Nothobranchius furzeri: one gene and its partners. The protein of the gene in region 1 interacts with the protein of each later gene in a pairwise test. Links are inferred from orthologs where the notes say so. Each region holds a gene or a part of one and is shown in the gene's direction. Other genes may lie near its edges.

The links. The genes of interacting proteins can lie anywhere in the genome.
Region 2: the proteins of ccndbp1 (region 1) and syf2 interact in binary tests that used the Homo sapiens proteins (3 or more experiments, as listed by UniProt). The link is inferred for Nothobranchius furzeri from reciprocal best matches to the Homo sapiens genes CCNDBP1 and SYF2.
Region 3: the proteins of ccndbp1 (region 1) and zgpat interact in binary tests that used the Homo sapiens proteins (3 or more experiments, as listed by UniProt). The two-hybrid records come from large-scale screens. The link is inferred for Nothobranchius furzeri from reciprocal best matches to the Homo sapiens genes CCNDBP1 and ZGPAT.
Region 4: the proteins of ccndbp1 (region 1) and imp3 interact in binary tests that used the Homo sapiens proteins (3 or more experiments, as listed by UniProt). The two-hybrid records come from large-scale screens. The link is inferred for Nothobranchius furzeri from reciprocal best matches to the Homo sapiens genes CCNDBP1 and IMP3.
Region 5: the proteins of ccndbp1 (region 1) and mrpl15 interact in binary tests that used the Homo sapiens proteins (3 or more experiments, as listed by UniProt). The two-hybrid records come from large-scale screens. The link is inferred for Nothobranchius furzeri from reciprocal best matches to the Homo sapiens genes CCNDBP1 and MRPL15.

Annotation. Positions count from the first base shown.
Region 1 is NC_091743.1:73,304,170-73,309,222, reverse strand, and holds the start of ccndbp1 (cyclin-D1-binding protein 1 homolog), read left to right. Parts: upstream 1-2,068; 5' UTR 2,069-2,162; coding exon 2,163-2,250; intron 2,251-2,920; coding exon 2,921-2,980; intron 2,981-4,520; coding exon 4,521-4,600; intron 4,601-5,041; coding exon 5,042-5,053. Other genes in the region: nfs1 (cysteine desulfurase), read right to left, coding at 148-224, 934-1,039. UniProt on the Homo sapiens protein: May negatively regulate cell cycle progression. May act at least in part via inhibition of the cyclin-D1/CDK4 complex, thereby preventing phosphorylation of RB1 and blocking E2F-dependent transcription.
Region 2 is NC_091758.1:35,523,649-35,528,705, reverse strand, and holds the start of syf2 (pre-mRNA-splicing factor syf2), read left to right. Parts: upstream 1-1,670; 5' UTR 1,671-1,718; coding exon 1,719-1,736; intron 1,737-2,002; coding exon 2,003-2,101; intron 2,102-2,289; coding exon 2,290-2,415; intron 2,416-2,769; coding exon 2,770-2,887; intron 2,888-5,057. UniProt on the Homo sapiens protein: Involved in pre-mRNA splicing as component of the spliceosome.
Region 3 is NC_091755.1:51,597,892-51,602,764, reverse strand, and holds the start of zgpat (zinc finger CCCH-type with G patch domain-containing protein), read left to right. Parts: upstream 1-1,486; 5' UTR 1,487-1,656; intron 1,657-1,946; 5' UTR 1,947-1,984; coding exon 1,985-2,571; intron 2,572-4,033; coding exon 4,034-4,167; intron 4,168-4,273; coding exon 4,274-4,438; intron 4,439-4,873. UniProt on the Homo sapiens protein: Transcription repressor that specifically binds the 5'-GGAG[GA]A[GA]A-3' consensus sequence. Represses transcription by recruiting the chromatin multiprotein complex NuRD to target promoters.
Region 4 is NC_091751.1:70,486,903-70,491,653, reverse strand, and holds the start of imp3 (U3 small nucleolar ribonucleoprotein protein IMP3), read left to right. Parts: upstream 1-1,364; 5' UTR 1,365-1,586; coding exon 1,587-1,723; intron 1,724-4,113; coding exon 4,114-4,221; intron 4,222-4,751. UniProt on the Homo sapiens protein: Component of the 60-80S U3 small nucleolar ribonucleoprotein (U3 snoRNP). Required for the early cleavages during pre-18S ribosomal RNA processing. Part of the small subunit (SSU) processome, first precursor of the small eukaryotic ribosomal subunit.
Region 5 is NC_091747.1:46,193,622-46,197,931, reverse strand, and holds mrpl15 (large ribosomal subunit protein uL15m), read left to right. Parts: upstream 1-1,427; 5' UTR 1,428-1,510; coding exon 1,511-1,615; intron 1,616-1,735; coding exon 1,736-1,893; intron 1,894-2,169; coding exon 2,170-2,335; intron 2,336-2,573; coding exon 2,574-2,697; intron 2,698-2,786; coding exon 2,787-3,124; 3' UTR 3,125-3,223; downstream 3,224-4,310. Other genes in the region: lypla1 (acyl-protein thioesterase 1), read right to left, coding at 84-131, 238-303, 399-430, 567-635.

The DNA of each region.
Region 1 (5,053 bases):
ACATGCTGATCAAATCAAATACAAATTGGTTATATGAAGGTAAAGTCACACAAATAACCATCATTTTAGCCCAAAATTAAATAGTTGTCACATGATAAGTAACATTATCTTTTATGACGCACAGCAGAACACACGAGTTACAGTTACCATGGGAGTGGTGGCCTGGAAGTCCATGTAAAGAGGCCGGAGCTCATCTTTCTCCAGCTCGTGTTTCTTGATCAACTCTGCAGCAAAAAACACAAATGTACACATTATTCTTTCAAGATTATTCTGTACGTATTTGCCGTACACCTACAATTGTTCAACAATTGCCGCAAGTAGGGTATCAAGGTGCTTTGTTTAGTTGGATGAGCCTAACTTCACAGGAATGGTTTCCATAGTAGCCAAGTAGGCAGAGTCAAACAACATTTCTGCAAGAAATGTCTAGATTAATAATAATCTATCCAGATTAATTATGTTTTCCAAATTGTAGTGTATGTTTTCTAAAAAGGAAACTATAAACTCTGGACTTTGATACTTCTCAGCTCATCTGAAATGTTTTCTGTTCCTGTGCTGGACAGCGGAGCGTTATCTGAAGTTAACTAGTCTATTGTTTCTGTAACAGCTTTGCCCATTGTGCTTTTTGTCTTTCATTTGGCTGAATATGATTACAATCAATCTAGCAATAATATCAGTTATTAATAATCAAAACTATTAGTTATTATTTTATATTACTTCAGTTTTAAAGTCATTAAATACTTTATTGATGAGGATGCACTGTCCCAGCTCTAACCCAACACACGCTCCACGTTACTTGATTTGACCTGGACTTAACACACAGTAGGTGTTGTGAAGTTTCTCGTCACCCCAGCAAAGTGCGTCACTTTGGGATTAGCTTAATGCTAGATACTCATAGGAAAACGAAGAGGCCAGTGTGTTCCGTTATGCTGTTACCTTTCTGCTTGGAGCTGGCGACGGACCGCTCACAGCCCAGCCGAAAAGGAAACCAAGAGGCGGGCCTCAGAAGCCTGGAGGACACGGTCCTTCCCGGGGAAAGCATCTCGGCAGGCTGGGTTCGGCGAAGACCTGCTGACCTCCGTCAACACCAACACGTTGGCTGCGACCAAATCAACAAAGCAGTTCAGCCACCTAACCCCAGCGTTAAAAAAAGAGAACACTATTTAGAATTAGTGCTCTAAACGCGAAAATATGTGGTTTCAAACTTACTGTCTGTCACTTTAGACCCAGGTTGCAATTAAATGGATCATCGCAAGTTAAGTTACAAAACAAAGCTAACTTCCGGTAGTGAATTTCAAAATAATTTTAAAACGGTGCTAACTATTTATTGATGGAAAACGTTTAAGCAACTTTATAATTTTACGTTATTTTGATTTGCGTACAGTTCACAATAGCAATTTCACAGATGAACTTTAACCTCGTCTTTTAATCTTTTTTGGATGGTAACTACAGACTTGTCACAAAATTCAACAGGAAACAAGGACGGGACTTTCTGCGGTTTCCCTGCTCTCCCATAGGCCAAACTGGATTTTTTGTTGTGGATTTAAAGCGGGGCTATTGGCAATTTTAGTTTTTTGATTGGCTACAGTCCAAGTTTTATGACCTTTTTGCCATTTTATATGAATGTAATGAACACTGTTTCTTATGTGCATGGGTTTATTAAATACACCCATTAGGTTTCACAAACCACCAACTATATTTCAAGGACTCTGCTATTAATATAGAACAATCTAGTCCAGATTTGAAGAATCTAAGTGTTGTACTTGTTAAGCTACACATGTTCCAATGTAATTCAGATGCAATCTTTGTGCTGAAAACGCACTTTTTAAACATTAAAAAAAATCATTAGTTTTAAGCATCATCGACATAAATATAAGCCTAAGGATTTAAGCCTAATGTTGTCATTTCAGAAAAATCAAGTCCAGGTATGAAGAGTGTTGTAGTTTCATATTTAGTGAAGATTAAATATGCTCAGGGAGTGGAAGAATATATACAGTATCTGTGGTTTTCACTGTAAACAATTTCACCGCATTTTATTCTTCTGCTTCCGGGGGATTGATTGTTTCGCTTATTATATTCCCCGGATCCACGTTCCGGGCTTCTGTAGTTCCACAACACTCGTGTTAGCGCAGCATTGCTAACGCTTTTCCTCAAACTTCGTCGTCATGAGTGCTGATAATATCAACGGGAGTTTGTCCGTACCTTTACGAAATGCTTTGAACTCCATTCAGTGTATCAGAGACCGAGTCAGAGGTAAATTTAAGACACATTTCTTACCTCATTAAAAAAACTCAGTATGCCAGTGTTAGTGCCAAGCTAGCAACAGTCTTTGTTGTTTAATGTGTATAGTTGGCTGCATTTAAAACAACTTAAAACGGAAAACGGTGCAGTCGCCTTTTAAACAGCCCACTAAAGACAAATAAAATGAGAAAGTAACTTTTCAAATGCCAAGCAGGGATACATTGTCACGCGTCATCTAGCCATCCACCGTTATCTTATTGAGCCAGACAGGTTTCGTTGCTACGTAAAAGCCCCTCAAATTCTGCGAAAACCAAACATATAATAAACCTGTAGCTTAAAAAAGCAAGTTGGCCAGCTGAATGATCCTTATGAGAAATTGATGTAGTGGATTCTGTAACGTGTCATTCCCAGTGACTGTAGTAAGAGACCTCATTCCTCAGAAATGTATTGGCAGTAAACCAAACTGAAGGTTATCCTGTATATAATTTCATATATTTCCATTTAAGTGTTTTGTTGTTGTTGTTGTTGTTTGGGCTAGGGTTATACAACGTAAATAAATAACCTTTTTACTTTTACCTCAATGAAACATTTGGTCTGACCTAAAGCAGCTTCCAGATAGAAGCAACATAATCACAAAACACATGTTTAAAAGTGTAATTACAACCTTTGATTTTCTCTGCAGATGGAGAGTCAAATGAATCAGATGGAGATTTCAACCTTTCTAACTTCTGGGACACTTTGAGTTGAGTATATGAGAATTCTCCTCCTGCCACACGTTCAACTCCTTGACTCTTTTTCTTAGGTCCGGGGTGTCAAACTCAAATTCACACTGGGCCAAAATGAAAATCTGGGACGAAGTTGCAAGCCAAACTTAATATTTTTTGAAAAAGTGATGGCAAATTTGCACATTTTCTTTTTCAACATAAATGCAATTTTAAACTTTAAAATTTGGAAACAAACTTATTTTTGCATTAACTCTGAATGTGGAGCAACCAATTTACACATGAGCCAGTCAATTTGAAATGAAACACATCAGTGATTTTCATTACTTGTGGTATATTCAACATTTTTAAAATCTATTAAGGATTTATGTTTTCTTGTTGTTTGTTCATTTTTATTTGTTATTCTCCTTTTTTTCCTCCTGTAATAAGTGTCATCGCTGCTGTGACGTCTAGCTTTCCCCACTGAGGAACAATAAAAGGATTTTCTATTCTATTCATCCATCTGCAGCCTTTCCAGTTCCTGTTTTACTGTAGGTTAAATCTTTTCTCACGGGCCAACAACAACATAAAAGTATAATTTTATCTTAAATGAAATGCAATATCTCACCTGCTAACTTTCATGTTTTGGAGCAGAAAGAGAGCATAAAACCAAAATATGTAAAGCTCAGTTTGGTCCACTGATTTACTGTGATGCTCACCTGTTCCAGCCATCATGGGGTTGAGGAGCTCTGAGCTGAGGAGGAGACTTCATCATAATAATGACAACATTAGATGACAACAGGTGCTCACATAGGTTTGTGCTGCTGAACTTGGAGAGCGTCTGAGCAGCTTGACCACGTTGTTGTGTGTTGGGGAGGAAAAATAAAAACTACAGCAGCCACAGAGTCATGCCGATTTGAGCGTGTCGCTCGCTGGAGTTATATCAGCTCTGTCTGGAAGTTGGTTGGAAAACTTTCTCTTTCAGTCGTGAACACATTACTGAGCGGTTAAAATCTCAGTTTCTGGGCTTCAACGTCGGCAAATGGCTGAGATTAACTTGGCGCTGAGTGAGAGGAGTGTTTAGTTTGTCCGAGACAGCGGAGCTGCAGACACCGGCAGCAGACGCTGGAAGAAACACAAAGGAGGGGGCGCTTCGGCTCTGCTCTAATGCTGCAAAGCATCATGGGAGTTGTAGTCTTTGCGGTAAAATCGACCAGTGGGTCAGTTTTAATACATCTTTGATATTTATCTCACGGGCCACATAAAAATGCTCCGCGGGCCACATCTGGCCCGTGGGCCTTGTGTCTGACATATGTGTCTTAGGCCATTTTCTGTAGCACAAAGCAATTATCTCATTTGTCAATATTAAGGTTTTCAATTTTTTTTACAAAAGATTTTTCATGTTTTTTTTTGTATCAACGATCTTGCACTGTTGAGTACATAATGTGAACGTTACCTATTAAGGCAAGTCTCTTTTGCTCATCAGCTCTATCTGACTTACTATTATTTCTGACATTAGGACACTGTCATCTATACTATATAATCAAAAATTTAATCTATCTAACTGTTGTTTGTAATCAGACCAAGCAGTAAAGGCAGTGTCCCAGGAAGCCACTAAACTCAGCCTAGCCTTCTCCAGACCTCCGCTCCCCTCTTTACAGGTTAGTTTGTTTGTTGTTATAAGTTATTATTCACACAAAACGTAAAGGGACTGTATCATGTTATTTTACACCTTCCAGAACAACTGTCGGCACAGTATATGATAAAATGTTACCATTGGCACGATTAAGTTGTCATCATTTCTGAAATAGAATTTTATTTTTTAAGCCATCCCTTCAACCCAGTAAAAGGGCATTTGGATTTGATGAAGTCCTGTCTCCACCCATAAGAATTCCTCAATGGTACAAGGCTGCAGACCCGGAAACTGCACATTTATGCTGACATGTGCCACTCAGCGATTTCCTATTCACAATCTGTTTATTAAAATGTTTAAAACCTGAGCTAGATGTTCTTTCAAACTTTTCAGTCGTATATGTTTATCTTCCTATCGTTTCTCAGTCCTTCATGATTCAGGCTGTCATGTAAACTTTGTTGTACTGCAGGATGCTGAGAAG
Region 2 (5,057 bases), on another chromosome or scaffold:
CTCCCATCTGGTTTCCAGTGAAAATGCATCACTCCATTACCATTGCCTGTGATCTAGAGGATGCTTTAATCTAAGACTATAAACTCCACTTAATTACATCCTCCGAAGGAGCTCGATTAGTATAATGCAATCAAACGGGGAGCACATCCATTTTGGCAAGTCAAACATGCTCAGATGGCTCTTGAAAGTGTTTACCTTTGTCCTCTGATCAGATAAAAAAATAAATCGTATTTTGGAAGTTCTGTCCTCAAAATCCTTGATTGATACTTGTGTGTTTGTGGGCAAAAGGGAAAAAAATGTTTTCAACATTTGGTTTCTTTGCAGCAAAACAACCATAGCTAATTAGTTTAAGAGAGTCAGACCCAACTCTGTGTGCGGTAACTGATGACTTTATGCTTGACCTTTTATGCATCTCTTTTATAACCTCCAGTCTTATTCATAATTGCTGCCTGTGCGTGTCATTCCAGTTTCCAATACAGTTTGGCAAGACTTTTCAATGCATTTCAACATCAAAATGAAGCAAGATGGGTGGTTTGAAATTGTTTACAAAGATGTTTCAGTAAAACACAAAATGCCTGGCAGCGACTTTTGAAATCATGGCACAAAAAGGCTAATTTATTTTTGGTATCACAACTTATTTTTTTATTTTGGGGTCTGATGACAAACGTGTGCAGTTAAATCCTCGGTGAATGTCAAAGAAACTCCTATAGATATGAACATACTTAGAGAATATTCATATTTTATATGTGAGTTCTGCTCCAGTTGAGTCATGCAGAATAAAACCACCTGAGGATTGACTGTATTTGTGTTGATATGTCTTTTCTTGATTTATGAGGGTTATTTGATGAAATGTAGTAAAGTTTCTGCTGGTTCTGTTGCATTTAAATGTCAATGAAATGAATAAACTTTACATACCTTTGTGTCAGAGACTGAAAGCTGTTTTCCAGCTTGTCTGTCACTCCCATTTGTTAAGACATAATATCTCAGGAACACTTAGGGAGGATTTTATTACATCTGGCAGGAGCAATTTCTTGGATTTAAACTGATTACTGTTTGCTTGCCTAATGTCATTTGGACCTCTAAAAACGGGTGTAGGCTGTAACTAAAAACTTCAAAAGTTAGTCATACATTTTCACATGTATTCCTAACGTTAGAATACAACCAAATTACTTCTTCATTCCAAAACATTTTCCAGAGTTTTTCCAATTTCATAGCAATCAGTTTGGTCAAATGCTACATTTCTGATAGGATTTTGGTTCCTGGAAATTGTAATTTGACTTGCTCTTGTGTGACAATCATTTACTTAATAAAAATGTACAAACTGACCTTCTGTGTTTGGGTCCTCAAATCAGATAAAGAGCAGCTCAAAAATAACATCTTTAATTGCTGATTTAAGCACAGAACCACCAACAAATGGGTGGCAAATTCTGGAAAACACCCCGTGATCTAAGTGTGTTGCACTATTTTCCCACAAAAAAGCTTTGTCAGCTCTTTGAGCATTGACTGTGCTTTTGTGCTATGAACCATGAAGAAAATATAGTAATACATATAAATCGTCATTAAAAGGAAATATGTGTTTTGCCTTAAGGATAAAATATTAAAATATTTCAAGGCAAGAAAAATAATTTTGTTTGTTTTTGTAAGCTTTTATTTTGTTTTGATTCTATATCCGGTGCTAATGACGTATTTCCGCTCAGCTTTCTCAGGCCAGAATAACAATGGCGTCCTGTGACGAGGTTGGTATTTTGCTTATTTACTAAAGCTGATATATTTTAAGGTGATAACGACTCCGTTGATGTACACCTTTTTAGAAACGTGTTTCTCCTTCAGTTATTGTCAAAGCTTCATTCCTGTTGCATAAACTTCGTTGTTTTTTTTACAAGCTGTTCCTCGTTAGCATGTGTGCTAACAAACAACATATCGGACTAACACCGTCGGTCATAAAATAGCATAAATGAGATTTTATTTCTTGTAAATTGTGTTAATTTGCTCTTTCATACAGGGAACCGCCACGGCTACTGAAGCAGAACCGGCCGAAACTTTGGCTTCCGAGAAGAGAGAAGCGAGACTTCGTAAATTCAGAGAGTTACATTTCAAACGGGTTGGTTGTTTTTCTACATATAAACAGTGTTGTGTGTAGTGATGGCATGCCTAACGATCACATAGCGACTGTATATTTTGTTGTGTTATAATAACTCGGAAAATAATATGAGCATTTCGGGATTAGATCATTGTAAAGTAGATTAACCTGCTTGTAAATATTTATTTATCTGTTCGTTTTTACTGCAGAACGAAGCACGAAAGCTGAATCAGCAGGAGGTTGTGGAGGAGGATAAGAGACTGAAACTTCCTGCCAACTGGGAAGCTAAAAAAGCCCGACTGGAGTGGGAAATTGCTGAGAGTGAAAAGAAGAAGGTATTTTTATTTTTTTGTTTGCCATCTGATTTATTGACCACACTAAATCATTTTATCAAACCATTCTAAAAGAATAGCTTTTGTTTGAAAAGTCAAGCTTTTGTTATTGCTTTTATAATGTATTTAATCTTTTGTGTTGGGTTGCTTTATCCTGCATTGATTGGTCATCCCAGAGTTGGTCTATTTCTGCATCTGCCTTGACTTATCAAAAATAATGTCATGAAATCTGTACCATAAAAGTGTGTTTAATACACAAACATTAGTGAAATACCTAGATTAATTAAATAAAATGTAAGATTTAAAAGATATAAGAATGGTATTTCATGCTTTGATGGTTATTAAAAATTTCTTAAGGAATGTGCCGCCTCTGGCAAGGATTATGACAGAGTGAAGCTACTGGAAGTCACAGCTGATGAGGCTGAACGATGGGAGAGGAAGAAAAAGAAGAAGAATCCAGACCAGGGTTTTGCAGGTTTGTGGTTCAAGTTCAAAATATAAAGATGTAAAAATACAGTCGGCTCATAATAATGGGTTCTAGGGCTGCTGTATTTTGACTGAAATTGAGATCTTGATTATTTAAGACCATCTTTAATTAATGCTGATAAGCAACTACTGACAGCAAAACGGAGCTTTACAGTGCCAACATTTGTAATGTAAAAATAAATGGAAACATATAAACTTCTATGTTGTAGTGAAGTTTCACGACCTGTTGCTTAATAATCAGGTGCTGTAGGGGATTATGTACAGTACCCTAATACCATACCAGTTCATTTCTAAAGCACATTTAAAAATAGAGTGGCAGCTAACCGAAGTGCTGTACAGGAGAGCGAAAGACTAAAACACAGCAACAAAGACAGCATAGGAGTAAAATGTAAAGCTAAAAACACTTAACGCACATAAAAGCAAAGCATAAAATTAAAAGTTAACAAATAAAAGCACTAAGATAAGAGAGAAAAGAGAAACAAGTAAAAACTAACCGAGCAAGTTGAGCCCCCTTCAGACAGGCCATGAAAAACAGAAATGTTCAGGACTCTGTCCGTAAGACCTTTGTGTCTGAATACAAACATCCGGATAACGTTTTCCGTAATTAAACCGGACGATGCCCCTAGTAACAGGTCTGGACTTGTTACGGACAAGGTGGCTGCTTCATACTGGTGAGGTCGAGTTCCGGACAGGGAGGAGGAGGGGACCGGGGGACGCTGTGCACTCCTAGATAGCCCGCTCCTGTAGCATGCGGCAAACCATGGCAGCTCGCCTCCTACGGTACCGTCTAGACGCGCAACGGAGCGCATCACACCGCTTCCGTGATTCCTTTAACCATTGAGCGCCATCATCCAGGGTCTTATGCGTCTTCGTGTGCGCAGAATTATGCTTAACATAAGTCCGGCGGTGTCTCAGTAGAAGTTATTTCAGAAATAATTTTTCAGAAAATTCACAGAATATCCAGATTTGAGAACCAAGACCAGACCCGCTTTGGGGGAGGAGACCAAATTGGAGCTGAGATGGGGGGTAAATGCATGAATGAGGCCAAAAATGGCTTCGGCGTGTTTCTTATGAGGAAATGACAATATAACATGGTAAAAAGTCCCAAAAGTTCGATTTTTAATTATATGGAAGCTTTACAAAAACTGTTCAATTAACTTCTCAACTCCATCCTCAATCTTGCATTTTAGATGATATTAGCTATAACACCCTCTTTGGTTCCAGAATGCTATTAAGTCTGACAACTGGAAGGAATTGGACTGACTCTGATGGAATGGGTGGGGCTGACTCTGGTGCAGCTCCACCTTTGTGGTTCTGCAGCGAGCACCACTTGTTTTATCTTAATAAAGCTAAGTTATGTTTCTACAAACAAAAACAATATCATTTAAGTTGCACATCTCTTGGTATTTCTAAAATTGCCAACAGAAGTTGATGTTTTTCCCCTCCGAAATGATCTAAACGGTTATTATATGGCGTGTTCTTTTCATCAGTTATATAAATGTTTTATGTAGGAGAAATCACTGGCTACTAACTTTGTCTCCTGCTCATATTTTATGGAATGGATTGACTTTAATGAGTCAAGATGGCTGTGGAGGTGTGTTAGCATAAAGCCAGCATTAGCCACGGAGTGTCAGATCAGAACAGACAGAAAATAATACACTGGGGCAGTACAGCACATCTGGTAAACTTGAAAATGAAAGACACCTGCAGATTTCCAGTCACCTAACTTACTGAAGAAACAAACGTCATCTGTGACACTTCCTTTGTTAAAGTAACCCGAAAATAAACCAGAGCTTTTAGATGCATGCTTGCTTGTTTTGGTGCCAACAGACGGACAGACAGACGGGAACTTGCAACTCTCCGGTGATCTTGTGACCTTACATGACCAGCAGCGTGGAACGCATTTGCTGTTGATCAGAAACGCTCCTGATGGGAGAGAAATTAAAAAGCATCTACTATGTTACGCTCCCCATAGACATAGAAATGATGTTCCTTGACGGGGGCTTGATGGAAAATAATTAAGAAACACTGGTTTACTGTATGAAAATAAGAAAATGAACAGAGTAATTTGGTTGGTTAATCGATCGGATCAGTAAAAAGTGAATAAAACCTGCCATATTTAGAATGATCTTAGTGTTGAAGTTTTTCTAAACTCAACC
Region 3 (4,873 bases), on another chromosome or scaffold:
ATTCTGTTCATAACCTTTATGGACAGGATTTTTAGGCGCAGCCAAGGTGTGGAGGGCATCCGTTTTGGTGGCCTGAGGATCAGGTCTCTGCTTTTTGAAGATGATGTGGTCCTGTTGGCTTCATCAGAATGTGATCTTCAGCTTTCGCTGGAGCAGTTCGCAGCCTAGTGTGAAGCAGCTGGGATGAGAATCAGCTCCTCTAAATCTGAGACCATGGTCTTGATTCGGAAAAGGGTAGAATGCCTTCTCCGGGTCAGGGACGAGGTCCTGCCCCAAGTGGAAGTATCTCGGGGTCTTGTTCATGAGTGAGGGAAAACTGGAGCGTGAGATCGATAGGCGGATTGGTGCTGCATCTGCAGTGATGCGGGCGTTGTACCGGTCTGTCGTGGTGAAGAGAGAGCCGAGTCAGAAAGCAAAGCTCTCGATTTACCGGTCAATCTACGTTCCTACCCTCAACTATGGTCGTGAGCTTTGGGTAGTGACCGATAAAACGAGATCGCGGATCCAAGCGGCCGAAATGAGTTTTCTCAGAAAAGTGGCTGGGCTCTCCCTTAGAGATAGGGTGAGAAGATCAGTCATTCGGGAGGAGCTCGGAGTAGAGCCGCTGCTCTTCCACATTGAGAGGAGCCAGTTGAGGTGGCTCAGTCATCTGGTCAGGATGCCTCCTGGACATCTCCCTGGTGAGGTTTTCCGGGCACGTCCAACCGGGAGGAGACCTAAAGGTAGACCCAGGACACGGTGGAGGGACTATGGCTCTCACCTGGCCAGGGAACACCTTGGGATTCCCCTCGGAGGAGCTGGCCCAAGTGGCTGGGGAGAGGGAAGTCTGGGCCTCTTGCCTTAGGCTACTGCCCCTGCGACCCAACTCTGGATAAGCGGATGAAAATAGATGGATGGATGGATGGATATATGCAGCTGAAACAGGCCCAGTGTATCTCAAATTTGTCAATTTTTGACATTTTATATTAAATACCATCATTATGGTCAGTAATGGCCTGTTTTATAAAAGGTGTGGTAATGTGCGCGTCTTTGTTGTCCTTAATGGCATTTTTTTTAACTTACATTACGTGTTCACTTTATACTTTAAGCTGTTTTGCAACCAGTGCTTTTACTTGAGTAAAATGCTTGAAGTGAGACTTCTGCATTTCTGACCCCCTCTCCATTTTCAAATCTAAACTCTCCAAGACAGCATACTATTTATGAGTTAGTTTTATTGTTTTGCTTTCTGACTTTTGGCTCTGTAATTTCTGGGGATTTAATGAGTGATTTGTTTAGCTTGTTTTTAACTTGATTTCTATTATTTTTGTTGTAAAGTGACCTTGAGTTCCTTGAAAGATGCTTTAGATAAAACGTAATTCTTGTTAAACCCTATTATCTATTCTTCATTAGTAACGAATGTGATTGTTTTTGACACCTCTGATGAATGTAGAAACTATTTTAACCTTGCTGACTGACCACAGTTGTTTCTACTTTATTTTGAAAGGAAAACATTTTTACCGGAAGTGCTCTTGTTGTTCGCGTTTGCCGCTTTGACGTCATTCTGCTGTGTTTTGTGTCAACTTGCTTCTTTTTTGACATGAATAAAACAAGGATTTCCGCAGACGTGACCTCGTTTATTGCTGCAGTGGATGTCAGAGAGCTCGAGTAATCACTGAGGTAATGACACGACCTTTATATTCACCAGAGTTTATGGAAACACGGCTAGCAGCTAAAACAACCCATGCTAGCAGGATGGATGGGGAGGTTACTATGAAGAGCCTCATTCATTTAAATATAAATATATGCTTCACACAGAGAAAACGTCTGAAATTCTTGTTCTTTCTGTGTAATCCATCAAATATCTGGAAGTGTAGTCTTTGATCTGTTTGTACTATTAATGTATAAACATGTAATGACACTGTAGTTCCTCTGCACCTTTTGTTCATCTTCTTCATCTCTTGTTGGAGGCGGTTGATGCTGTCCCAGCTCGTGCCAAGCTGTCAGCATGGATGAAGAAAGCCTGGAGGCTGCCATCGCTGCCTATGGGGCCCAGCTGCAGCAGGTGGAGATGGCCCTGTCAGCTGGCCTGGACCCCAGCCAGCAGCCAGACCTGCTCAAGCTCAAAGAAGACCTCTGCCAGCTGATAGCGCTAACAGAAGCCAGCCTTTTATCTGTACAGAAAAGCCGGCTACTGTCCAGCCTAGAAGACAGCAACGGACCTCAGATGAACACCTCAGAGGCAGCGGCTGATTCCGGTGTCTTTGATGCTGAATTTGCTGCGTTTTACTCTGAACTAGGAGAAAGTTCTGGCAGCAGCTCTGATACCAGAGAGAAGGATAAGGACAGTGGGAGCGTGTATTATGAGGAGGAAGATGAGGAGGAAGATGATCTTAGTGGTACCAAAGTAAGGGCGCCTTACAGGACAACATGGGGGACGCTGGAGTATCACAATGCCATGGTGGTGGGGGCAGAACCGGCTGCTGATGGAGAGGAGGCACAAGTCAGGGTGCTCTACATCTACCCCACCCAAAAATCTATGAAGCCCTGTCCGTTCTACCTGGAAGACAAATGTCGCTTTCTGGATAACTGCAGGTAAAATCAAATCAAAGATGCTTTATTAATCCCAGAGGGAAATTAGAGTTTCAGTACACACAATTCAGAGATCAGACATACACGGGCAAGAGACATGACAAGAATTGGTGACTGTGGTCATTCGCAACCCTGAGTTAACAGAGATAAGAGGGTTACATGAGGATTGGTTCAGGTGGAGGAAAAAAAAGGCACTTCAGAGCTGCCCTCAAACATATATGCAACAGACTTCAGACAACACAACATAAGTGTCCACTAGGTGGGGTGGTGGGTTGGGACTATCTCCACTTCATTTCCTGCAGCCACGATAAGCAGCGCATGTCACCTCAGTGTGGATGGGGGGGGGGGGGGGGTGGGGGGGAAGCATTGAGGGTTGGAGGGTTGGAGGGTTGCAGTGACCCTGGAACGTTTCAGCGGCCTTCCCGCTGTCCCGCCCAGGCTGGGATAGGAGACAGAGTAGAGTTGCCATAGCGACGGCACATTCCACATATCTTCTGAGGGGGGGGGGGGAGTTTTCGTGGAGCCTTGCAGGCTCAAGGACACCAGATTCCGATTAGAAATTGTTTTGGGGCCAGACAGAGATAATTTCCTCTCTGTCTTACAATTTGTTGGTCCTCAACCTCTCAGAATCCCAATAATGGACGTTAATCTATCCCAATCCGTGCTGATTCGTCCACTCTCTCCTTGATGGCATCCATCTTTTGTGCCAAAGAATGAATCTCCGCCAAAGTCCCAAGCTTACGATTCATCTCGACAATTATTTGAGTCTGAATTCACTGCGGTGCAAACCATCTCTGAGCTCCGGGATCAGGCCAATATTCCTCGACAGCTCGTTAATTTTCCGGTAAGCCAAGTAGCCTCCAAGGCCAATGAGCAGGAAACCTGACACCAACACCACGAATATCCACACGTCTTCAGAGTCCTCCACAGACAGCTGGTCTGTCCCGGAGGGGCATCCGGGAGTCCCTTCTCCCGTTCTCGTCGTTGAAAAAATTGTATCAACCGCGTTGAGAGACCAGCTGACGAGATCCATTTTAGTGAATTTCAGTTTCCAGAAAATAATGCAGAAGCAGCCGTGCACCCAGCACACGCGGACAGACAAAGGCTTTGAGGATAAGATACGGAGGAGAGGAGAAGAAAAGCGTCTGCACCCTCCGAGAGCCGGAAGCAGAAACCAAACATCTGTTGCTTTTTTATTATTTGTGTTTTGTCACATTAATGTAAAGGACATTCACACACAAGTTTAGAAAATAATGTTCAATGTGTGTATTTTTTAAAATCTTCTCATCATTTTAGCATCTTTTATTTAGAAAAAAAATCTTCTGCACCTTTACATTTGTTGTTATTCTTTTGTTTTACCCGGATAAAACCGAATCGCTCCGAATGGGATTTTATTATCAGTCAGAGGAAAGTTGTGATAAATAACTGAATGGTTTTCTTACAGAAACTCGTCTCACTTTTGCAGGTTTTCTCACGGTGAAGTGGTGTTTGTGTCGGAGCTCAGAGACTTCTTGGAGTGCGACCTTGGTAACCTCGAAGAGGGTTCGTCCTGCTTGGCTCGGCACGAGGATGGTATCTGGTACCCCGCCAAAATAAAAGGTCTCTCAATCACATTTTGTTTTAATTTGTTAAATGTCATCTAAATGTAGTTTGATCACAATAATTATACATTTGAAATTATTATTTCCGTTTTCTCTCATCTTAGAACTTGACAGTGGTTTCTATACCGTAAAGTTTGACTCACTGCTGCTGAAAGATGCTGTCGTTGAGGCTGATGGCATCATCCCACCTCTCAGAGAGGACGACCCACTCTCCTCAGACTCTGATACTGAAGAACCTGGAGATGGGGAGGCTGTGGGGTATGCTAAAGGTATAAAGACCATTTTAAATAAAAGGAATCTGTATGAAAAAACACACCTCCTTCACTTAAACCAATGTAAAGGTTGTGTTCTTAAATATAGTAATTATGTAATTATATTTTAAAAGACATATTTAATTTGTAAAAAATATAAAAAAATATATACAATAAATATAAATAAACACCTCCTTACATTTTAAGCTTTAAAAATATTTTTTATGTTTTAACATATTTTTAAAAAATATTTAAAATTAAAAAAATATATAAACATTTGTATACATCAATATTTACTTTTTTATCTAAACTGAGTGAAAGGGTGTTTTTAAATGTGAATGTGTGTGTGCATGTGTGTGTGTAGGTGGGTGGATGACTGATTGAGTTGTAAAGTGCATGGGGGGGGGGGGGGGGGGGGGCTCTAGGACTCAAATACAGGCCGTTTACTATTTT
Region 4 (4,751 bases), on another chromosome or scaffold:
AGTATGGCAGAATCAGTGCATTGTATAGTAATAACAATCCTTCACTATTTAGTACAAACTTTACACTATATAATACTGCAACGACTTTGGCCATTTTACCTTTTATATAGCCTATATGTGATTTCCAGCTTAGAGCTTCATCAATCATTACTCCCAGTCATTTGACAGTGTTGTTAAAACATGAAAATATGTTGAAAAAAGTCAGATTAAAGTTCAAAGTGGGTCCAAAGCTAATTTCTATGATTGTTGGAGAACCGTTTCAGCTAAGCTAATGCCTTTTCCAGGAAGCATTTACTCCCACCTCTAACAAACCCTAACCCCAATGCTGCTGCAAAGGTCCAGCTCAAGACGCGGTTCTGAGCATTTACTTCCTCTGCTGCACAACAACAGAAGACAAGTTTGAGATCACTTGAATAAACTTTCCTCAGACGTTCCTGCAGCCTCTAAAGCCTAATTCATGCTTCTCCCTCAGCGTCCCGAGGGAGAGACGCACGGACGGAGATGTTTTGCCCTCAGACTTCTCCGTTTTCTGACCCTGTTTTGTACGTAAGCAAGCTTGATATATGAGACCCCTGGTCTACAGGGCCTTACATGGACAAGCACCATCTTACATTGGTGATCTTCTTAGTCCCTACACCCCCAGCAGGTCCCTGAGGTCCAGTGATCAAAGCCTACTGGTTGTGCAGCACCAGGCTAAAGGTCAAAGGTGACAGATCATCTGCTGCTGTGGCCCCCAGACTCTGGACCTCTCTCCCCCTGCGCCTGAGATCAGTGGACTCAGTGGTCTCCTTCAAAAAGCAGCTGAAGACTCACCTGTTCAGGCTTTTGCGTGACCTTCATCACCACCCTCTCCTTATTCTGCTCTTTATACCCATTACGCCCTTCTCAGTGTTCCAACTAACCATGCTACTCGTTGATATGTGCTACTTTGGGGAAATGCACATGCACAGACCGATCACAGGCTGTTTCCCTAAAGAGACGCGCTACCTCTGGAAGTTTCTGCTTGTTGTAGGTTTACCTGACAGCTTGTAAAATATCATTATACTGTGAAGTAATTTCTCCCATAGTTTACCATCATTCATGACAAACTGTCTTTTTCATAAAAAAATCACGACAAACATTGTAAATTGTTGCTAATAATTATACTACAGTTCTGTATTTTTGAGTAATATTACCTATTTAAAATAAAACGTGCTTAATAAGTGCGTTATTATACTGTAAACAAGAGCAAAACTGTCGTAACATGATGCAGTAGGAATATTCCACGAGGAAGCAGGGATAGTCAGAACACCCTCATGGACGTCCATCTTTCCTATTAATTTTCTCTCTGTTTTCTTACATTTTTAAATCATAATTGTTTTTTTCTAATCTTAAACATGTCTTTAAATAATTTCAATAAATGTTTTTCATATTTTAAATTTCGCTATAAAAGACAGTTTTCTTTCTTTCGTTCACACCGCTTGGTGGCAGTAATGCGCCATCTTGTTGTTTGTCAACCGCCAATAAAAATCCAGAAGAAGCCACAGAAGAACACGTGTTTCCGGTTTGAGTAGCTGCAGTTGGCAAGCCGCTAATAAACAGTAGAAATGGTTCGTAAATTGAAACACCATGAGCAGAAGCTGCTGAAGAAGGTGGACTTTATTAACTGGGAGGTGGACAACAACCTTCACGAGGTCAAGGTGCTGCGGAGGTATCATATCGAGAAGCGGGAGGACTACATGAAGTAAGCTAGCTGCTAAACCTACCTGATATTTATCTTTATATAATTAGATAGTTTAGACAGTGTTCACTCGTTAAATCACAGACTGTATGAAGCTAATTTAACGCTAATGTTCAGAAAGCACGCTGTCCACTGAGGTGGACATGTAATAAATTATTTGTAAATGATTAAATGTTTGTTGAAGTTTGTTTCATTCACACCTAAAGATGAATGAAAAAAATTGTTTAAAAAATCATGGTTGAAGATTTCATAATTCATGCATCAAAGGGTTCCCTTTTTCTGTAAATTTGTGTGCAACAGTGTTGTTAATGATTTGATCTATTTAAAAATACTTATAATTAAAAGAATGAACACGATTTAAACGTTTATTGTGGGTAAATTTGTGTGCAAGATAAAACAGCGTTTTTTAATGATTTTTGATTAAAAAATTCTTTAATTGAAAAGAATAAACATGATTTAAACTCTTTTTGTAAAATTGCGTGCAAGATAAAACTGCGTTTTTTTATTTATTTAAAAATACTTTTAATTAAAAGAATAAACACAATTTAAACATCCCTTCTTTTTTTTTGTAAAATTGTTGGCAAGGTAAAACCCATCAAGTACTATGTCCTCCCCAATGTTCATAAAGATCTGATGTGGTATTTCAAAATAAAGTGCAATCAAAGTTGACTATAAAGACAATTTTCCCCATATTCAATGGTTTCTTTCTCTAAAAACAGTTTGATTGCGCTACATCATTCCACTTCAGTATTACAGTACACATTGAGTACTACATCCTCCCCGACTTTCATAAAGATGTGATGTGGCATTTCGAAATAAAGTGCAATCAAATTTGTCAATGACAATTTTCACTATATATATATATATATATAAATGTCACATCAGAATTAACGATGTACCCAAACAAGTTCATTTAACGATCATTCCTGAACTTGTTCCTTGTTTTATTTTTGAGTGTAAACCAAACTCACGAATTTTGCCTGGGGGGGGGGGGGGGGGGTGTTTACGGTTAACCATGCATTGACTCATTTGCTGTGTCTGGTTTTCTCCACACTTAGAATTACGGCCGTACATCAGCACCTCACCTAACACACTATTGTAGGCGTGTTTTGTCGGAGCGGGCGTGGGCAGAGCTTTGCCAAAAATTAACCATTTCATTTCCGGGTGTAAATTCAGGGTGACGAAAATGACTCGTTTATAAGATAAATGACATCTCAGCAGTACAGCATCCATACAGCACAATGTCTCAATCCAGAATGACTTCCTATCTCTGGCTCCTTCAAAGGCAGTTGGAAATCTGGGTGTTGTGATTGATGAACACCTGACCTTTAAAGATCACGTTGCCTCTGTTGCTCGTTCATGCCGCTTTGCGCTGTATAACATACGAAAGATCAGACCATACCTAACATAACATGCCACCCAGCTCCTGGTGCAATCTACTGTCATCTCCCGCCTCGATTACTGCAACGCCCTTCTAACTGGTCTTCCAGCCTGGACTGTCAGACCTGTTCAGATGGTCCAGAACGCAGCGGCGCGTCTGGTCTTCAATCAGCCAAAAAGAGCACACGTCACCCCTCTGTTCATTGAGCTCCACTGGCTACCGCTAGCAGCACGCATCAAATTCAAATTGCTAACACTAGCATACAAAGTCCGAGACGGTACGGCTCCCATCTACCTGAATCCTCTTGCAAAGGCTTACGTCTCGGCCCGGCCGCTCCGGTCATCACAGGATGGTCGGCTAGCAGTGCCTACACCACGCTCAGGACAATCCAGACTCTTCTCATGCATCGTTCCACAAATGTGGAATGACCTACCAAGCACTACCAGAACAGGGGCTTCCTTTTCAATTTTCAAGAAACTCCTGAAGACCCTGCTCTTCAGAGAGCATCTTCTAAACTAGCACCCTCCCTGCACCCGTCCCCCCCTCTCTACTGTCCACTCCTTGTTCCCTCCTCTCCATGACTGATGTCAAGTTGTTGTTGTTGTTGTTAGCCTCAAGGGCAACATGCCGATTATCACTTGTAAGTCGCGTTGGACAAAAGCGTCTGCTAAATACATAAACATAGTACTAATGGTAGTATATTATGATGTACTGTGTCTACCTTTGCTCTCAGTGGTTTAAAATAGCAGGATATGGAACCTTTATGGGCTTCAATAACCGGTTAAAAATGTTTTGGGAAACGTGCGTCCCTATTATGTCTGTTTTTCCTGATCTTTTTAATTTGATGCTGGATGCTTAAATGAAGTTAAATAGAAACGTTTAGCTAACCGAGTGCTAAACTTGGCATGGGCACAACCTGCAGCAGCAGCCTGGAGTGGTGGTGTTTACGGCAGCGCTACCCTGGCTGAACATTTCTGCTAGAGGAGCTTTAAACCCTATTTATTTTGCTCAGGTACAACAAGCTGAGTCGCAGCATCAGAAATCTGGCTCAGAAGATTCGAGACCTGGATGAGAAGGATGGCTTCAGAGCTCAGAGTACGCACCACCTGTTAGAAAAGCTGTAAGTTGCTCCTGTCGTGCTCACACAGAAACCAGTCTGTAACTCTAACATGGCCGCGCGTGTTTGTACCCGTTTACCTCGAACGCAGCTTTAGCTCCACCCACTGATGGTTTATGCTGGTGAAGGTTCTCACTCGGTCTTACAGGTCATGGTGATCCAAAAGGCAGCTGGACCTCTTAGGTTTCTTGGAGTCGTTTCACTTCTCGTCTGAGGAGCTTTGTCAATTCTAACTGGAATATAGGAGAGCTGTTGCTGTCTGTTGTTTTTAACGAGCAGAAACTACTCTGAGTACCCTACCTCTCTACCCCTGAGTTGTTGGCCTCTGTTGAGAGGGAGTCGTGTGGATTAGATGCAGGAAGGTGTGACCTAGACTGAAACTGCTTATGAATGAAATCAGGGCTGAAACGATTCCTCGAGTACCTCAAATAATTCCAGTACAAAAAATCCTCGAGTCAAATTCTCTGCCTCGAGGCTTCGTTTCCTTCATATTTAATTAATTCATGGCTTTGCAGTCGCCCGGGGTCATGTTT
Region 5 (4,310 bases), on another chromosome or scaffold:
AAAATACGCAGCAGAATCATTATGTGCAGGATTTGGAAATGACTGAAGTCATCGGAAATGTGTGTTTAAACTGCATCACCCACCAAGAAGGCATGGACATCCTCATGTTCAAAGAGACGGGCATCGTGGGGCTGTGGATAAGGGACATTGTAACAGCAAGCTGCATAAATCTTGACTCAGGCTTTGAAATCAGACTTTTCTCATCAAATACTTGCGTTGTGAACCTTAAATACTTACGCATGAGGACAGATGTATTTCACATGTGGTATTCTGATGCCTGCAAAAGCCTCTGCCCAGCCATGCCTGTCAGGTTTCACCCAAAACAACCAGTATAAAACGGCTAATTAAACAGACAAAGCAGTGTGAATGCAAAAAAATGACTTAATTACTTTACTCACCCCGTATCTCCAAGGCCATGCAGAAATATGACCTATAAATAACAATAACACTTATTTTCACTGACAGAGGTTCACACATATCACATTTCGACAGCTTCTGATTTCTAGCAGTTCCATGCTAATGTTTGGGATTTGATCTAAAAAGCACTAAATGAGCTGACAGCTCACCGCTGCAGTGGCTTTTCGGGCAGCAGGCACAATGGTAGGTAAAGGAGCTGACATGTTGTTGCCGCACATACAGCGCTGAGGCAGCTGGACAAGTTAGCTAACAAGTTAGCTCTTCGTAGCTAACAGCAATATAACACAAAAGTGAAGGCCTCCAGATACACAGCAACTGAAGAACGAGCTCCGTCAGACGATGGAGGTCAACGCTTCACCGTCTCTTGTCCTGTCCTTTCTGGGAGTTTAGTTTAGACAGAAATTAGTCGTGGCACTGACTGACAGAAGCTGCTAGCAGCACACCATGCCAGCTGCTGTGACAGGATTTGTAGCCCCGCCCTTTGATTTAAGTGATTGGTTCTCAAAAGCACCCCAATTAACTGCCGATCAGCCACTGGTCCGCTTAAATGTCAGTTTGAGGTTCGCACATAAACTATAACATGCTGTTATTGTTGTTGTTTTCTGTATTGCTGATAATTGTTTTATTGTATATTTAATAATTTTATTTTGTTTTATTAGCAATAAAATATAATAAATTCAAAGAAAATACGGAAAAAATATTGTTAAATAGTATTTATAAATAGTTTTTAAAAGTGGAATGTTTTAGCATATTTTAAAATAATCAATAATAATTTTTCTTCCAATCTCATTGATTGGTCTTTCTTGTGATTTGTCGTCATCTAGTGGCAACATTACAATACGGCAGCAACTTTTTCATGAGACCTTGTACATTTTTTTTAGCTAGTGTTGCTCAGAAATGAAGTAAACGGTCATTTAAAATTGCTATATTTCATATATTGAAATGCATACAAACTTCACTTTTTTCCAGACATTCCAAGTATCGTGCCTTTATTTTGAAACATCACTCCACCGTGAAATAGCTTCCGGTGTGGTGGAGTCACGTGATTAGTTTGCCCTTGGTTTGCTAACTTTAACATGTGAGCTGCAGAAACATGTCTGTTACTAAGAAAACCGGCAGTAAAGCTTTGGATGTTTTACAGAATTTGCCGCGGATCACTTTAGCAAACCTACGACCTGAGCCAGGATCCTGGAAGTGGGTACGTTTGATCCGGTCTCGTGGGCTACATTAGCACTGATGCTAACATGACTAGCATCTGAATAGAGATGGAGGTTAGTAAACGTGATAAATAACCTTATGTGGTTTAAATGGTCTGCAGGGGAGACGACGAGGTAGAGGACAGCACGGCGGTAACAGGAGCGGCCGAGGTCACAAAGGAGAGCGGCAGAGGGGGAACAGACCCCGGCTGGGCTTCGAGGGAGGGCAGACCCCCTTCTATCTGGTTATACCAAAATATGGTTTCAACGAAGGACACAGGTGCAAACTCGTCACCGTGGTTTACATCTGTCACACATCAGTAGATCAGGAAGTTATCATTTAAAAATCTAAAGATCACAAAGCAGTACGTTTATTAGGCAGCAGAACTCATAAATAGCTTAATTCTGGGCTAATTTTTGATATTTCTGTGTAACCCACCAGCTTATAAAACTGTTCTATCACCCTTAAAGCATTTTTGCACTACACAGAAAATACATCACAAACAGGATAGGGAGTTAAGTCATGTTATTTTTCTGTTTTATTTGTTCTTCCTAGCCGGCGTCCACAGTACATGCCCCTGACCCTGAAACGACTCCAGTACCTGATTGATCTGGGCCGAGTGGACCCGGCTCAGCCCATAGATCTGACCCAGCTGGTCAATGCCAGAGGAGTGACCATCCAACCTCTGAAGAGGCACTACGGAGTCCAGCTGGTGGATGAGGTAAACTTCAGCTCAGCCTGCTAGGATGGAGGTCAAAAGCATCAAAATAACACAATTATTCATTCAGAGGGGAGAAAATGTGTATAGTGTTATGGATGTGTGATGTTTTCTAAATTAACACCAATAATAACTCTGACCAGCAGGTGACACCACATGACAGTTTTGTCATTAAACTGCTGCTTCCTTTTCCCTGATTTTTCACTCTCCCATTTTAACTAGAATGCATTTTATTTTTCAGGGAGCTGACATATTTGCAGCCAAAATCAACATTGAGGTTCAGAGAGCAACTGAAGGAGCCATAGCTGCTATCGAGAAGAACGGAGGCGTCATCACCACCAGTTTCTACGATCCCATAAGTCTCGGTAGCTAATGGGTTTTTATGAAACCGTAATACGTGAGTTTTATTTGAAGATTGTTGATGAAAGGGTTGAGGATCTGCTCTTTTCCTCAGGGATCCTGATCAAGCCCGTCCCGTTCTTCGTGAGGGGCCAGCCAATCCCAAAGCGGATGCTGCCAGGAGAGGACATGGTCCCGTACTACACGAGTGCTGAAAACCGGGGTTACTTAGCAGATCTGGAAGACATCCAGCAGGCCCGGCGTGCCCTGGCACAGAAGTACGGCTATGCGCTGCCAGATATTTCAAAGGATGAACTTTGTGACATGCTTGCCACAAGGAAGGATGTTCGACAGATCTTCTTTGGCCTCTCTCCAGGCTGGGTCGTTAACATGCCGGAGAAGAAGATTCTGAAACCGACAGATGAGAAACTTTTGAAATATTACAGTTCGTAGGTGTTGGAGGCGATCTGTGGCCAACAAAATCAGAAAAACACAGTTTTTTTTCATAAATATGACAATTATTAGTATTATGATTAAAGTTCATTGGAAGTATTCAGGTTGTTACCACTTACATATATGCAGCAGGTTTTTTTCTTTACAAGTGAGTATTGTACGGTCTCGTGTCGGAGCACAAGCTGCATGATGGAAGGAACGTGAACTGGAACAGGTGAGAGGGAAATAAGGAAAATAAGATAACTCAAAGAATGAAAACAGGAAACAGGTGCCTGGCGATGTGTGTAACCCGTGAAATGGGTTGCATAGGCTGTAGGGGGGAATTAGAAATTAGTCATAGGCAGCTGTATCCTGGTGTGGGGGGGTCAAAAGATTCATATCCCCTCCTCACAACCCCCCCTCCCCCACCCTTGGTGGAGGGCAAACCCCATCAAGTCATTTATGAAATCAGCAGATTTTCTTTAATGTTTACAACCTGAAGAAAATTCCATTTTCTTCATTAAATTCATTTTTTTAGATTTAAATGTCAAAATTATAAACAACTCAGATTTTATCTTTAGAGTTGCTGCTGTTGGATTTAAGCTTTTTTTAAACAACAAAGCCAGATTTAAGATAAATATTCCACTTTAAATGTCAAAGGTTTGACTTAATGTGAGTGTTTTCCTGAATCTACGATCAAGGACACACACACACATCCTCACACACATATACGTAGCCCAGCCAGGAAAAACCAGCCCAAATTCTTACAGCATAACACTTTAAATAAATCACACCACAGGAAAGAAACAGCACAATCATTGTTTATTGCAGACCTGCAGCGCTTATCTTCAAAGCAGCAGATCCTTTAGAGTTCTCATCAGAGAGAGAAGGGCCGATCGAGGTGCACACATAAATCCTTTTTAGTGGATTGTAATTAAAAAAGAATTAATTCCCTTATTTGTAGTTTATGCCCCAAATAATCTAATAAGTAGTGATTTTGCTGCCTAAAATAGTCGGTTTGGAGCCATTGCTGCAGTCTCAGACAAGCTTTAGTTAATAAGTAGTGTTAATTACAGCTGGGTGAGGGATCAAACTGGCTCTCTGTGGACTTCACAAACATTCCCAACGAGGCGACAAGACTCGGAGGTGTGGACAATAAAACACTCGAAGGATCTCCTTACTTGAGCAGATAAAGAAACTTATCAGG